Nothobranchius furzeri: one gene and its partners. The protein of the gene in region 3 purifies or fractionates together with the protein of the main gene of each other region. This does not show direct contact. Links are inferred from orthologs where the notes say so. Each region holds a gene or a part of one and is shown on either strand. Other genes may lie near its edges.

Region 1 (4,522 bases), on a different chromosome or scaffold from region 3:
GAACGTTGGGAGCACTCACCTCTGGAGCAAGCACGAATGTTTGCATAAATTTCCTCATAGGTTGACCGTTGTTTGACAGTTCTCCAAGGACCTGAACCACGACTCCATCACTCAGAGTGGCATGGGCATCGACATGCCGGATCTTTGTGTGGCATTCACTAAACTGCAGGGACATGACTTTCTTGTGGATTTCCTGAAGGGTGTGGAGCCAGAAAGAAAAAGAAAAACCCAGAATTCTAGGGTGGTCAATCCCCATTTTAAAAACCCCAACTTCAGAATATTCCATTTCAAAAGCGTATTAACAAAGAGAATTGTCATTATCAAGCTGTAGCACCTACCGCTTGCCCGTACACTGCTTCTGCCAGCTTCCCACTTGTGTCAAGCCCCCCGTGAACATAGGAAGAATTCCTTCCATAGAACCTGAATATACAGTTAGTCATAAAAAAATACAATGTTGTCTACATAAAAAAGCTTAATTACATTTATATACTTACCTGTGAAGAAAATCTGGTGCCTTGTTCAAGAGTGTGTAATACTGCCTCACAAACTCCCGCCCTACAAGCAGGGGACTTGGCTTCTCCATCACCATTTCTTTGGTAAACAATATTAAGTGCTAAAAAAAAAAAAAAAAAAAAAAAAAAAAAAAAAAAAAAAAATTAAGAATGTGATCTCAAACACATAGCTACAGTAAATCAGGGCAAAAAAGTTAATATCTAATTATAGAGGACAACATTTGAGGAATTTATTGCCAATAAAAGTATTAGAAGAAAGTAGCTCAGGAGGTAGAGTGGGTTGTAGGATTGATACCGGCTCCTGGAAGAAAATTCTGCTGTTGTGTCCTTCAGCAAGACACTTAACCCTCCCTGCCTGCCGGTGGTGATTGTCGGAGGGACCGTTGGCGCATGTGCTCGGCAGCCTTGCCTCCGCCAATGCACCCCCAAGGCAGCTGTGACTACACTGTAGCTTATCACTACCACTGTGTGAATGCACGAATGTTGCACTGAAGTGTAAAGCGCTTTGGAGTCCTCTGACTCTGAGAGGCGCTACAAGAGCAGGTCATTTATCATTATAGTCCAACTCTAACCTGTTAGTAGTTGGGAACACTGACTAATTGATTACTCATTATTGAAATTCAAGTTATAAATTACTTGAGAACAGTTACATCTTTATGCTTTCTGAGCCTTAGCTGAGTAACAAGGATGTGTTTATGTAAACAAGAAAAAAATGTCTAACTCAAATATTGTTTCCTTTTTACACAACTGCTTCAGTTTGTTTTGCTTGTTTAATGGCTAAAATTTTACTAACACCATGGTCACGAACAGATGGCAAAAAAATCTGACCGTCAGACTCAATGATTCGGATCTAAATTTCAGCAGAACAGTACCTGCAGTAGTGTAAAATACTTAAATCCTTTATCATGAAAAATGCTGACATGTGCAATTCTGAAGAGTTCACTGATTTTCGTAACTTAACTGATTAAGACAATTTTATTAGAAGAGACCCAAGTGTTTTTTTATCTTTATGACACATTTCACGTGACAATTTTATTCAGCATTTTGCTATAATTATAAACATTCCTTTAAAGACCCAGACAGTTCACGTAAACAATTATATAATTAAAAAACTTGACTAAAAACATCACCAATAAAGATCACCAATTCACCTACAGGTGATCCTTATCTGGTCACAATCTTAGCTAAATCATTTGCACAATGGCTAACATTTTAGCCAACATTCAACTGCGCCATCAGAATCATGCAATCAAACAAAGGGGGAAACCGGGTGTAAATAAAAAAAAAAGGGAAGCGTCTTGTGCAGACGTTCGTGAATATTGGGAGATTTACACGGGCTTTACAACAAATCAATTCCGCTTCAAAGTTAATAGTTGCATACATGTGTTAGACATATCTGCGCAAATCTTTGTAGATGAACGGCCTGGTGTATGAGGCCTTTCATGTCTGTGCTGACAACACTTTGCTAATCTCACATTTGTCGCATGTTCACAGACGACATGACGTGACCGATTCGTTTTTTTTTCTTTGTGTGCTCAGGTTGCAGACATGTCAGGAACACAGTGTACCTACGCTGACAGCTAACACGAGATAAATCATACAGTAAGAACAGAACGTAAATGTCCATTTACAGACCACATCACTGTCACCTGAAATGGCTAACGCTAACCCAGGAAACAACAGCAACTTCGAGTTTAGCAAGCTAACTAGCGCTGGCTAACTTGTGGCGTCGTCGTTTTTCCTCCAGCTATGGGCACTTTGTGAGTCGGGGAAAGCTTTAAAATTTGGCAAATGTTCAGACGTTACAAGAAAGCATTGGGAATAAACTGCCAACAAATTGTTACCAACACTTTACATTCGTACAAAACCAGAGCCTTTCATCCTAATATGAGTGCTGAAAGCTAAGTCAACATGACGTTACCTCACCATAAGACATCAGTGGACTTGAAATTAACGTTGAATCAAGAACTATCAGCCCTTTAATTGCCGGTAAAGCTTTAGATAATAGACATATTACGTTTTGCCAAACTTTATTAACCCAATCAACAACTTACACTTTCGAACTATTAAAACGAGAACTAAGATAAAAGAAAACAAGTTGACAAACCGAATGAACATTTAAAATGTCAGCGTTCGTGGCTAATGTGGTTATTTTTGACCATTAACTAAACAAAGAGTTAGCAACTTCGGACAACAACTGTTTGTAACTAGGTAATTGTGGTTTAGACAATGCAGATTAGCTTGCCGGTTTGTCTGGTAGCTGATTTAGCTAAAAGGCTAACTTACCTTATGAAGGACCTATCTATGGAGACAGAATTCAAGTTTAGTAAATAAATACGAATGGTCGACTGTAAACGGTTCTGAAATACAACGTATTTCAGGTAATTGTGTGCACTCTCTACCACAGCCGTATATGATCTCTGCTGTGCCAGAGATTGACGATTTCGTAGTGATGCCTTCGATTTATTTTTTCCACCCCTGCATTTGGGGCAGGGAACCCCCGTTGACCTAATTTAACCAATGGATGGCTTACACTAGATCATATGAAGTGTGACGCAGCACATAAAACCGCGCCCACTACAAACTTTCTCCATCATGTGCCAGAACAGAATGTATGGAGTTTTACAAGTTCCATTATGTGGAACAAAAAAAAAAATAATAATAAAAATAAAAAATAAATAAAAGAAAAAAAAAAGGGGAAATTGTTGCGTAACCCTAATGTGTAAGCATGTGCAATTCAAATCTCTGTTTAAAGGGATACTTTGCAACATTTTCATATTTTTCAATCATTTTCTTCAGCCAGTATGCTAAAAATGACCCTTTACAGTGTTAATGAAATGTCACTTAGACCTAGCCTGGCAAGCTAGACTAAATAGATATATGTAGTGGTGGCTCATTACATCAGGATACAATACATATGGCAGAATGCTAATCTGCTCTTCATTGGGAAAATTATTGAAAAAGCTGTTATGATCCAGCAGAACAACTTTTTAGAGACAACCTGCTAGATAGTTAGACAACACCAAAGCACTGAGACTGCACTTAATAAAGTATTAAATGATATTCGTCTAAATACAGTTTCAGGCAACACATCTGTCCTTATGATGCTTGATCTCAGTGCAGCTTTTAATACTGTGGACCACAACATCCTTCTTGATAGGCTCATAACCTGGGTGGGACTTTCAGGTACAGTCCATAGTTGGTTCCAATCTTATCTTGAAGACAGGTGTTTTGTTTCTATTGGTGATCACAAATCAAAGCTGATCACTATGACTTGTGAGGTCCCCCAAGGCTCAATTCTCAGACCACTGCTCTTCAATCTCTACATGCTCCCCCTGGGTCAAGTCATACACAATAACAGCATTGCCTATCATAGTTATGTAGACGACACCCAGATCTACCTAGATCTATCACCTAGTGACTGTGGTCCTCTAGACTCACTCTGTCAGTGTTTGGAGCAAGTCAATGACTGGATGCAGTCAAACTTACTCCAGTTAAACAAAGACAAGGCTGAATTTATTGTCTTTGGAAATAAGAAGGATAGGTTGGAGGTTATTGATCAGCTTGGCTCCAGAGGAGTAAAGACAAAGGACCAGGTTAGAAATGTTGGTGTCATAATTGATTCAGACCTGAGCTTCACTGGTCACATTAGGGCTATAAATAGATCAGCGTTTTATCATCTTCATCAGATAGTACCACTCAGGCGTCTCATGTCCAAACAAGACCTATAGAAACTCATGTGTTCATCTCTAGCAGGCTGGACTATTGTAATGGACTTTTGACTGGTCTTCTCAAAAAAACTGCAACTGCAGCTTTTTCAGAATGCTGCTACCAAAGTCATAACAAGAACCAAGAGAAACGAACACATCATTCCTGTTCTTAGATCTCTACACTGGTTTCCAGTAAACTACAGAATCAATTTCAAAGTACTTCTAGTAACTAGTTTATAAATCACTCAATGGCATGGGACCACAATACATGTCGAATCTCCTTCAGGTATATATGCCCAG
Region 2 (4,612 bases), about 13 Mb from region 3:
CTGTAGGCTTTTGTACTTTATTAGTTTGAAGCTGAAAAGCTTGGGAACAGTTGCCGTAGAAAATCACCAAAGTGCACCGTAAGATCATTTAGGTATGTTGTCACAGCTACAGGAACATGCAGCATTCCCTTTGCTATAGGCTAACCAAAACGATATTATAATCGGACCAATATAATAAAGCATTTCAAGAGAATTGTTAGAAATTTTTGTGATACTGTTAAAATGAGGCACCTTTCAAAGGAAAATAAACACATTTATCTGTGTAGTGGTTTTCTGAGGTCACACATCTGCGCCAGTCGCACCTTACAAACCCAGACCTCACCTTTATGTTAATGAGGGGCAGGATATGTGCCACTTTGTCCATTTAAATGCACCACAAACGTACAAGAGCCACGCTGTACGGGCTTTTGAAGTTAGAATAAATAAGGATCTTAGAATCGATGGATCCTGTTTGTGACACATCACAGCTGAACGTTGAGTTCAAATGTATCACAACATTGTTCTAATGGCAAAAGCAGCAGAAATGAGACAAACTCACCTTGCCAACATTCAGAGATGCTAGTGGAGGTGGAGTCTCAGTCCGGTCATTTATTATGTCCACTTCAGATACATAGGCTAAGTTGATCAGGATGACGTCGTTGAGGTTTGACTTACCACTGGAGGAAGCGCATTCTTTAAAGACACAAGTTAAGGCAGAAAATTTCACGACACTGACTTGAAGAACAAAATTACTATTGTTATCTGACCCCGAGGAACTCGAACACCATCTGCATTCTGATAGGAGCTGTGGCTGATAACCAGACAGTGAAAGGTGGTGCCAGTTACAGCGTGTGACTGCTGAGGGCAGTGCTGCCACCTACAGCAGCAACACATGAATGAAGGAATAGGAATTAGACAGCCTGCACACAGCCACAAATGTCTTCTTTCTCAGATTAATATTTGATTAAACTTGCAGCGTGTTGAATCTGTTTTTCTGTTGGAATGTTTCCAACAAATCACTCATCTTAAAATCTAATTCCACTGATAAAATACTCATTTATTTATTCAAACTGAGGGTTTTAATCTAAATGCACATTTAAATCCTGATGCATTTCACCCTGGAATGAACGGCTGTATGGCAAGCCGAAGTATTTAGGGGATGCCGATAGAAGCAAACAAACACGAGAACATATTGAAAGTGGAAACAGAAAAGCATCGACAGTTTCAACACATGATCCTTTCTTTCACTTTGGTTAACAAGAGGCAAGATTGTCAGGAAGTTTCTAAAACAAGTCTCTTTTTGGGGTTTATTCCACGATATTTTTGGCACACTGACCCACAATAGAGAAAATCTGGACATTTGACATGAACACCAAAAACACAATTAGCTTTTAACATCATGTTTGTAGTTTCACTGTACTGAATTTGTCACAAAAATGCTGACAGATTCACTAAAACCATTTAAATGTCACTACCGGTCTAAATTATGAACATCCAAATGGGAACCTTTATGAGAAGTGTCAAAACATGTTTTAGTACATTTAGTACTTTATGATGAAATCAACAGATGGAACTGTATTGTATGTAAATATATTCACAAGTTACCTGGTGACGCTATAACCTGTGAAAATTACAGAAGGTCCAGTTTTGCCAGACCTCAGAGCAGAACTTGGGTCCATCTGTTCAAACATCCCCACTTCCAACAGATACTTAAAGATTTCAATCATCTTTTTATAGCTAGAAACATTTTGAAGCCTTTAATTTAGAAAAATCATACATCCAATTTTGCTTGGGGGAAATTATACATTAAATGAGTGACGTAGTTATGTTTTAGACACAGAACGCCCTCACTGTCAAACCCATTCATTCTTTTTTTAACCCTCTTGAGTCATATGCCAGTTCGGTCACGTAGACTGTCACTACACCAGAAGTTTAGCGTATTATTTTAATTTTAAATTAGCCTCTAATCAAATGACTACATTTTATCATACACCTATATCCTCCTCCCATGAAGGGATGGAAGCATGCTCACAGACAAGCTAAGGTTAGTTGTGATCAGCTCAGCATGCTAACCCAAATGAATCGTGATTAGCTGTAATTAATTTGTGTCACAAGAAAATAAAATCGTGATAAACTCGCAATAAAAACAGGCTAACACACCTTAGATGCGTACTAGCGTTAACATAGCTTCCGAGCAGAATATGGGTGGAATGGTTTGTACGAAAGTTAGCATGTTAGCCGAGCTAGCAGCCCTTCCCCTGTAGCTCCGATGGGTGTCGTAGAAAATAAAACGAACTCATTAAAGCGAGCGCTGGCATCTGTGGGTGAAGACTGTGTGAGATACACGTGCGGACACAAGTCAGAGCGAGATGCGCTGAATGTCAGTTAGCCTGCTAACTGTTGAGAGCACACAGCCATGATGCCAAATAGTGATCCATGTCGAGAGCTGCCAATACAATGAGTGGATTCAAAACACATGTACGTCCGAGCAGGCGCATTAAAACACCAAGAAAACGCAAATGATGACTTAATTTCACAAAAAAATGGACAACTACTTCGGAAAATGAAATAACTTAAAACGGACAAAGATGTGTAACTCAGCTCCCACCAATTACGCCTGCGCGGATCACTATTTGACATATTTTCGGTTACCCTACAGGCCTGTGCAGCCAGGCAGGCCAGCCAGCCATCCGTCCGCAGCGAGAAACAAACAAAGGATACTCAGGGTTAACATCTTGGACTGGTAATCAAAAGCGACCACTTCTCCTTGTAGCCGTTGGCCCAAGCAGGTGAGGCAGGAGACATGGCTCCCGACGCTGAAATACTCCCCCGGTCCAGGAGCCGCCATCTTCTCCGCCAGGAAACCGGAGCGCCTGCCTTACGTAAAGCAACGTGGTGGCGTAGGAAGACGAATCTGGGCGTGCCCTCGTACGCCGAGTTAAGGTCATTGACAAATATTACGCATACTTTACCTCAAATGTTCTTTGAATATATTACCCTTACCCCACACAGTACGTCAGGCGATTTACGGATCATACAGATTTAAAGAAAGAGGCGTTATTTAAAACAAAACACATCAGTCATTTAGAGCAAAGGTTTACAGCGAACACTGACTAATGCGTCACTTCCCTGATTTGACCATACCACAGCAGCAGTAAAACAACATCCTAAACACGCATCTAATTATGTCTGGTTTCAGGAATAATTCATAATGTATGTTAATTTGTTACAAAGTTTTGTTATGTAAATCATTTTTCTGGGACCTAGTATGTTAACTCCAACAAGTTCCCCCCCAGCTCCCTCCCTTATTAACTATTTTATTATGTGGAAAATACAAAAGGAATCAAAACTGTATCTACATATATTCTTTTTTGTAAATGTGCAAAAATGTACTAATTACTTTCAATAAAAAATGTGGATAAAAGGGAAAATGTGTTCATCAAACTGTTTTCAAATGTTGTTGGCGCTGATTAATTATTCTAAGGATAAGCACAGCTTTGTTCCTCATAGTTAAGTTTTACCTCAAACTAATATTTCTAGTAATAAGGAAACATTTGATGATGAATAATAATTAAAGGGCAAGTCGCCCCCTACCAGAGTCTTACTCTACTCCCTCTTCCTGTTGCTGTTGCCTGGCAGACCAAGAGGGCGGAGCCGCTAACAAATACACACAGACACCCAGGTTCACAACATCATTGTTGTTTTGCCTTCAGACTTCTCTGTCTCCTGGGGAATCTTGCTAAGCAATTCCCCCCAGGACAACAGGGTGGGGCTTGGAGTAGATCCGCTGCTCCTCCTCATCGAGGTGAAGTGGCTCAGACATCTTGTTAGGATGCCTCCTGGACACCTCCCTGGTGAGGGTTTCCAGGCATGTTCAACTTGATAACTGATTTCTTGTCTGTCCAGGGAATTCTTTGGGATTCCCCCAGAGGAACTGGCCCAATTGTGACCCAACCCTGGATCAGCGGAGGAAAATGGATGGATTAGGGTAAGGGTCTTGCTTTATTAAATGTTAATGAATCTTTCTATGTTCAAATTTTCACCTCAAATAAATGTGATTAGATCTTCCCAGAAAGATTCATATAAATATCCTATTGTTGTCAACCTATCTTGACATGAGGCCATCTTTTTATTACTTCAATTGTTCTATTATGATTTTTTATGCATAGTGTTATTTAAATACACAGTCAGGTTGTTTAATAAAATCCTTTCTTTTGTCTTAATAGGAGCCTCCGAATATGAAGAATTTAGTTGTAAAATCTTTAAATATTTCTTGAAATACCACATTCACTTCAGGTTTACATGAATGAATTATAAAATTTTCTGGTCTTAAATTTTTAAAATAACATATTTTATCTTCTATCTACTTAGAACTAATATTGGAACACTGAGTGACATATCTCGACGTAACGCTCGGTTCCACGAAAGAAAGAAACCCAACGTAAAACAGCTCCTCCTGCTGGAAATAAACTAGTAGTGCAACATTTTCAGCATCTCATCCTAGATTTCATCATCCGACAATTAGCTACATGTTTTGAGGTTCAACTGCTTTTAGATACTTTAGAGGGGGTTCGTTAAAATGGAGTCCGTCTACACACAGGGCATTTGGGTCGCTGAAACTCTCCAGCAACAG
Region 3 (4,713 bases):
AGGCAGATTCCTCCTCCATTTACAAACTCCTGAGGACGCAACAAGGGGGCGTGGTGTGTCGACTACCGGATCTGACGTCGACGAGTTTTTAGAATCGAGCCGTCTACGTCATCGAGGCTTCGCTACAGCCCTAGTGTCAGAGGACTGCTTTCTTTTTAAGTGATTTCAAAATGTTCCTAGAAATACTTGTAAAGTATCAAGTATTGCATTTCTCTGGAGCTGAACCCCCCCCCCCCCCCGCTGTGAGTTTGCATTTGTATGTACCTCTAGTAGCAAAGTTGAGGTCAACATCTCTGCAGATCATTGTGACCAGATCTGAAGGGTTGAAGATCATGGTGTCTGTGATGTCCTCCCTTCGTGGCGGAACCAATGTTGAGCCCTCTTCCTCGCTGCGTTTGTGTACAGCGTCCACAGCCAGCTCACACTGACAACAGACACAGCAGAGAAAGGACAAATCTGACTTTTACCAACTTTAAAGGTTCCACATCATGGATAATCTTATTTTTGGAACTTTTTACTGTGTGATAGTCATTTCCTCATGAGAAATGCCGCCAAACCCTTTTTTGGCTCCATTTGTGCATTTTCATGTCTGAACTTCAGTTTAGTCGATGAAAACATTTGTCCTACAAACGGAATAAACCCACCAGGCACTTCTCCTCCACCTGAAGCTGGTGGTCTCAGTTCTGAAACCTGGATATTCTGACAAATTACTTCTGCATTTGTGACTAAACACCGCTGTAAAGACCATGCATCCTGCCTACAAAGCGACTGGTGGTTAGAGTGCTGGACTGGCATGTCGTTTTGCACAGGGTTGACTGCCGGTGACAGAAGTAACCTTTTCTTCTTCTTCTTCAGCTACACTTGCCAGTATTAATGACATCTCAATGGAGCCATTGGTAATATTTTATCATATATTGTGCCTACCATTGCTTTCAAACGTTTAAAAAAGCTGATCTGGAACCACATGAATGGCTAGGGTTTTCAATAGGAAGAGGTTTTAATTACTGGAATTATTTCTAGGGCAAATAATCAAAAACAAAAATGCCATGCTTTTATTTGATGGAGACAAAATTCTTACCCGAGAACTGAGAGTCTTAAATATGCCTTCAAACACATTGCCATTCTTCACTCTGATGTCACAGGTGGATCCCTGCAAGAAAAATCATTTGGTTTCACAAATATTGCACACAGAAGGACAATATTTGCCATCTAAGAATTTTCAAACAGGAGTCAACCGATATTGTTTTTAATTGTCAATATCATCAACATGCGGGAGACATGGTCAGACCATGGCCAAAATGTACTGACGAACTTATGGGCCAACTTTCATGGCCTAGATCGACACGTTTTCCACCTGATTTTCATGCTAAAATGTCACTATTAACATCAGTTGACACAATTTCTCAAACTGAATCAAGTTTTTGAACTCTAAATTTAACCAGCTGTGCACTTGTCAGTGTCAGACAACTAAATTAAGTTAATTTAGAGTATTTATTATACGGATGTTATTTGTGAACACAAAATTTAATTTAATTTAAATTCTGCAACAGCACTGGGTGCCCAAGGAAGCGGCTGACTTTAGGCTTTACTAAGGACAGATATCAGCCGATGTATAAAAACGGTAAACATCGTCCAGATATATTCGCCGATCGATATGTCAGTCTACCCCTATTTCTGAGTATTTTGGAGAAAAAGTTACAAAACACACCATGTATATTTGAGGAAATGACAAACCACGACACAAATCCATGCACTTTTATTCTGCAACCTTTAGTCACCAGGAGCAGGAAAATACTGCGCTGATGAGTTGCTTTGAGAAGAGTTTTAACAATGACTAAACTGACTTACCACAACAGCTGTGAGGAAATGAAGCATTCTGGCATTGTTGTACACACCCTCAAACACCTACACACAAAAGTTATGCATCAAGACAGATTTCTGAAGATTTGATGTAAAACAAGCAAAAACTGTAACATAATTACACAGTTAACTTGTTGACAGGTTTGGTTTTTACACATTCACTGATGCAAGCCTATTTTAAAATAAAAACAACTATTGTGTCCAATGTGCACAAACCGTGTGTGTGTGTGTGTGTGTGTGTGTGTGTGTGTGTGTGTGTGTGTGTGTGTGTGTGTGTGTGTGTGTGTGTTGATCAACATTTTTCAGAACACTCACAGGTGGCGACTGGAAAGAGGACTTTGCAGAAGTTCGATTCCTGTAATAAACGTCGGACGCTGTTAAGTACGATTCGTGCCATCACACACACACACACACACACACACACACACACACACACACACACTAGGAATTTAAATGCTATCATAGGGAGTCAGAGCCATCTTTCCGAAAACACATTTTTAGCAGGTGCTTGTTTTCCACATGTTGTTTTTTTAAGTAACAGACGCTGACCTAACACGATTTATGTTAATGTAATTTATTTCTTTATTCAAGCCATTTAAAAATGTTTTCAGAACGATCTAAATTAAATTGCATTCAGTAAAAATAAGGGCATCGCAGCTGGTTACAAAACAAAGACAGCTTCATCGAGTCCAGTGAACACACACACACACACACTCTCTTCTGAAAAAATAACACCAGACCATTTTGTAGGCCCAAAATATCTTAAGTGTAACATTTAAAAATAGAATAACACGTTTTACTGACTACGAGAATTAGAAAAATACGCGTACTTTCTTTAGCACTGACAGGCCACATAAACTTTGCATCCCCGTTATGCTATGGTGCTCATTGTTTTCACCCACTTAGGTCCGCCTCAAAGTTTTGGATTAGAACAAATCAAGTTTTCTTATTGGTTCAACGTTGCTGTCAATCAATAAAATAGTAATGTAATTGGCTGAAACTGAATAACTCTTAAACCACGCCCACCCGTAGCATAGCACTTCAACCGGTAGGCCTTTCAGACACAAGAAGACAAGCCTCGGACTATCCCACCAAGAGAACCCAACTCGCTTACCTTGCAGTCGATGTCCTGCTGCCGCTGACTGGGGAAGACATACCGCCTGGGCCTGACGTTCCGTTGGATGCCTTTCTCCCGCCTGAGCCGGGTTGCTGCTGGGGTTTCAGCATTGCGAAGCACAAGGCTTAGAAAATATCAAGTTTAACCTAATTTATCAAAATTGATACCTCCCGTAATGAAGCGGAAGTAAAATCCAACTATGTTTAGCACCAGAGCCGGTGTAACCTCAAAAAGACCGGCTACTGTCGCCTGTGGCCTAAAACGCTGAGGCAAAACCCTTCGGTAACTAAATAAAAATGTAATAAATAAGTTAAGAAATTGCCCCAAAGTATTTACTCTGTAACCCCAATTATTACGTCAAAAAACAACCAGTAAAGAGCCACCAGTTTCCGTTTAATTATTTAGCAGTGACTGGCTAAGTTAGCGGTAGCTTTGATCCTCAAGCTCACTTCGGGCGCTTTCCCCCCGGGATTTACTTTCTCCCGTCGGTCTCGTAGCCTCAACTCCGGCGCTGCTGGCTCTTCCGTAATAAACTAAGGACCTGGCGTTACTGCCAGTCAGTTGCCTTAGGAGGTTGAAATGTTCAGGTTTCTAACTGAAAACCTGCTGCGGTCGGTCAACACCACCTTTCGGTAGGTTCACTTGACTCAATCCGCGCGCTGCTGACTGGAAATAGGTGTTGTGCCAAAACTGCTGTGGTGTGAAAAGTTGCTTCACGTCCGCGGGCACGAGCGCAACCAGCGTTCACTTGATGTACTGCTATAAACCTATTCTGTCTAGGTTTTTTTTTCCCTTAGCAAATACGCGTATAGGTCTGCTCTGTGGGAAAATGCAAGAATACTTAAATATGTATAATGTGTGAGCATACACTTTTAATATACTTTTTTAATTTTAATTTGCTTTTATTGAGGTGGTGGGAACTAATGTTAAACCATGCCGGAAGACAACAGGAAATGCTGCCGACAATGTTTAGCGCGCGCTCCCGCGGACGCACTTCCGTTTCTGGTGGACTATCCGTTTGACACAACACCTGCTGAAAAAAAAGATGGGGGTGAATTCACGTGCGTTGAGCGCGCGCCTACGTGGAATGCCGAGCACAAATAAATAAATAATCAATTAATTAATTGATCTAAACAGGTGTCGCTGAAACATACAACAAATGGTGCATTCAGCTGTACACGTGGCAGGCACCTGATAAATTATAAACGCAAACTGTTCACAACGTATCGTGTTAAATTGTATTTAATTACGTTTTATCCATCCACCTTTTCACAAGTGTGGCGGCTCTGAGTTCTGTTGTCAGTTTCATTTATGAACCATCGATCAATTGTGACGACAGAAAAAAACATAGCCAAAGAAATGCGAGTGCGTCTTTACAGCAGTTATTACAGCACTAGTCTACAAACAGCATGGCGGCCTCCGTAGAGAGACATTAGTGTGTCGACAGTTCGGTAATTTACTAGTTCTTCTGTGCTTGAGTCTCAGTTTTTGCTGTTAGCAAACTACCAAGAAAACAAAATACATCTTTCATCCTCTGCCAAAGGAACCGTAAGTGCTTGAGGTTATTTTGAGTGGCTATAACCATCACTGATTCGATCAAATCGTGTTAAATTAAGGAATATAATTAAAAACCAGCGTTTTAATACTATAGACTAAGTTTTTTTCCCCCACAAAAACTCATTTGATCGCGTTTAATTTCGCAGATCTGTGTTTGCCAAAAGCAGAAATTGCCCCTC

The links. The genes of interacting proteins can lie anywhere in the genome.
Region 1: the proteins of atxn2l (region 3) and g3bp2a purify together in Homo sapiens (affinity purification with mass spectrometry; 4 studies listed by BioGRID and IntAct, counting the BioPlex papers as one, with this or other methods). This does not show direct contact. The link is inferred for Nothobranchius furzeri from reciprocal best matches to the Homo sapiens genes ATXN2L and G3BP2.
Region 2: the proteins of atxn2l (region 3) and lsm12b purify together in Homo sapiens (affinity purification with mass spectrometry; 4 studies listed by BioGRID and IntAct, with this or other methods). This does not show direct contact. The link is inferred for Nothobranchius furzeri from reciprocal best matches to the Homo sapiens genes ATXN2L and LSM12.

Annotation. Positions count from the first base shown.
Region 1 is NC_091744.1:13,117,501-13,122,022, reverse strand, and holds the start of g3bp2a (ras GTPase-activating protein-binding protein 2), read right to left. Parts: upstream 2,981-4,522; 5' UTR 2,799-2,980; intron 614-2,798; 5' UTR 590-613; coding exon 495-589; intron 421-494; coding exon 339-420; intron 194-338; coding exon 20-193; intron 1-19.
Region 2 is NC_091756.1:47,423,462-47,428,073, forward strand, and holds the start of lsm12b (protein LSM12 homolog A), read right to left. Parts: upstream 2,981-4,612; 5' UTR 2,828-2,980; coding exon 2,701-2,827; intron 673-2,700; coding exon 539-672; intron 1-538. Other genes in the region: g6pc3 (glucose-6-phosphatase 3), read left to right, coding at 4,559-4,612. UniProt on the Homo sapiens protein: Nicotinic acid adenine dinucleotide phosphate (NAADP) binding protein. Confers NAADP sensitivity to the two pore channel complex (TPCs) by acting as TPC accessory protein necessary for NAADP-evoked Ca(2+) release.
Region 3 is NC_091756.1:34,773,196-34,777,908, forward strand, and holds the start of atxn2l (ataxin-2-like protein), read right to left. Parts: upstream 3,297-4,713; 5' UTR 3,088-3,296; coding exon 2,975-3,087; intron 2,242-2,974; exon of another isoform or gene 2,226-2,241; intron 2,216-2,225; coding exon 2,176-2,215; intron 1,906-2,175; coding exon 1,849-1,905; intron 1,151-1,848; coding exon 1,079-1,150; intron 425-1,078; coding exon 265-424; intron 1-264. UniProt on the Homo sapiens protein: Involved in the regulation of stress granule and P-body formation.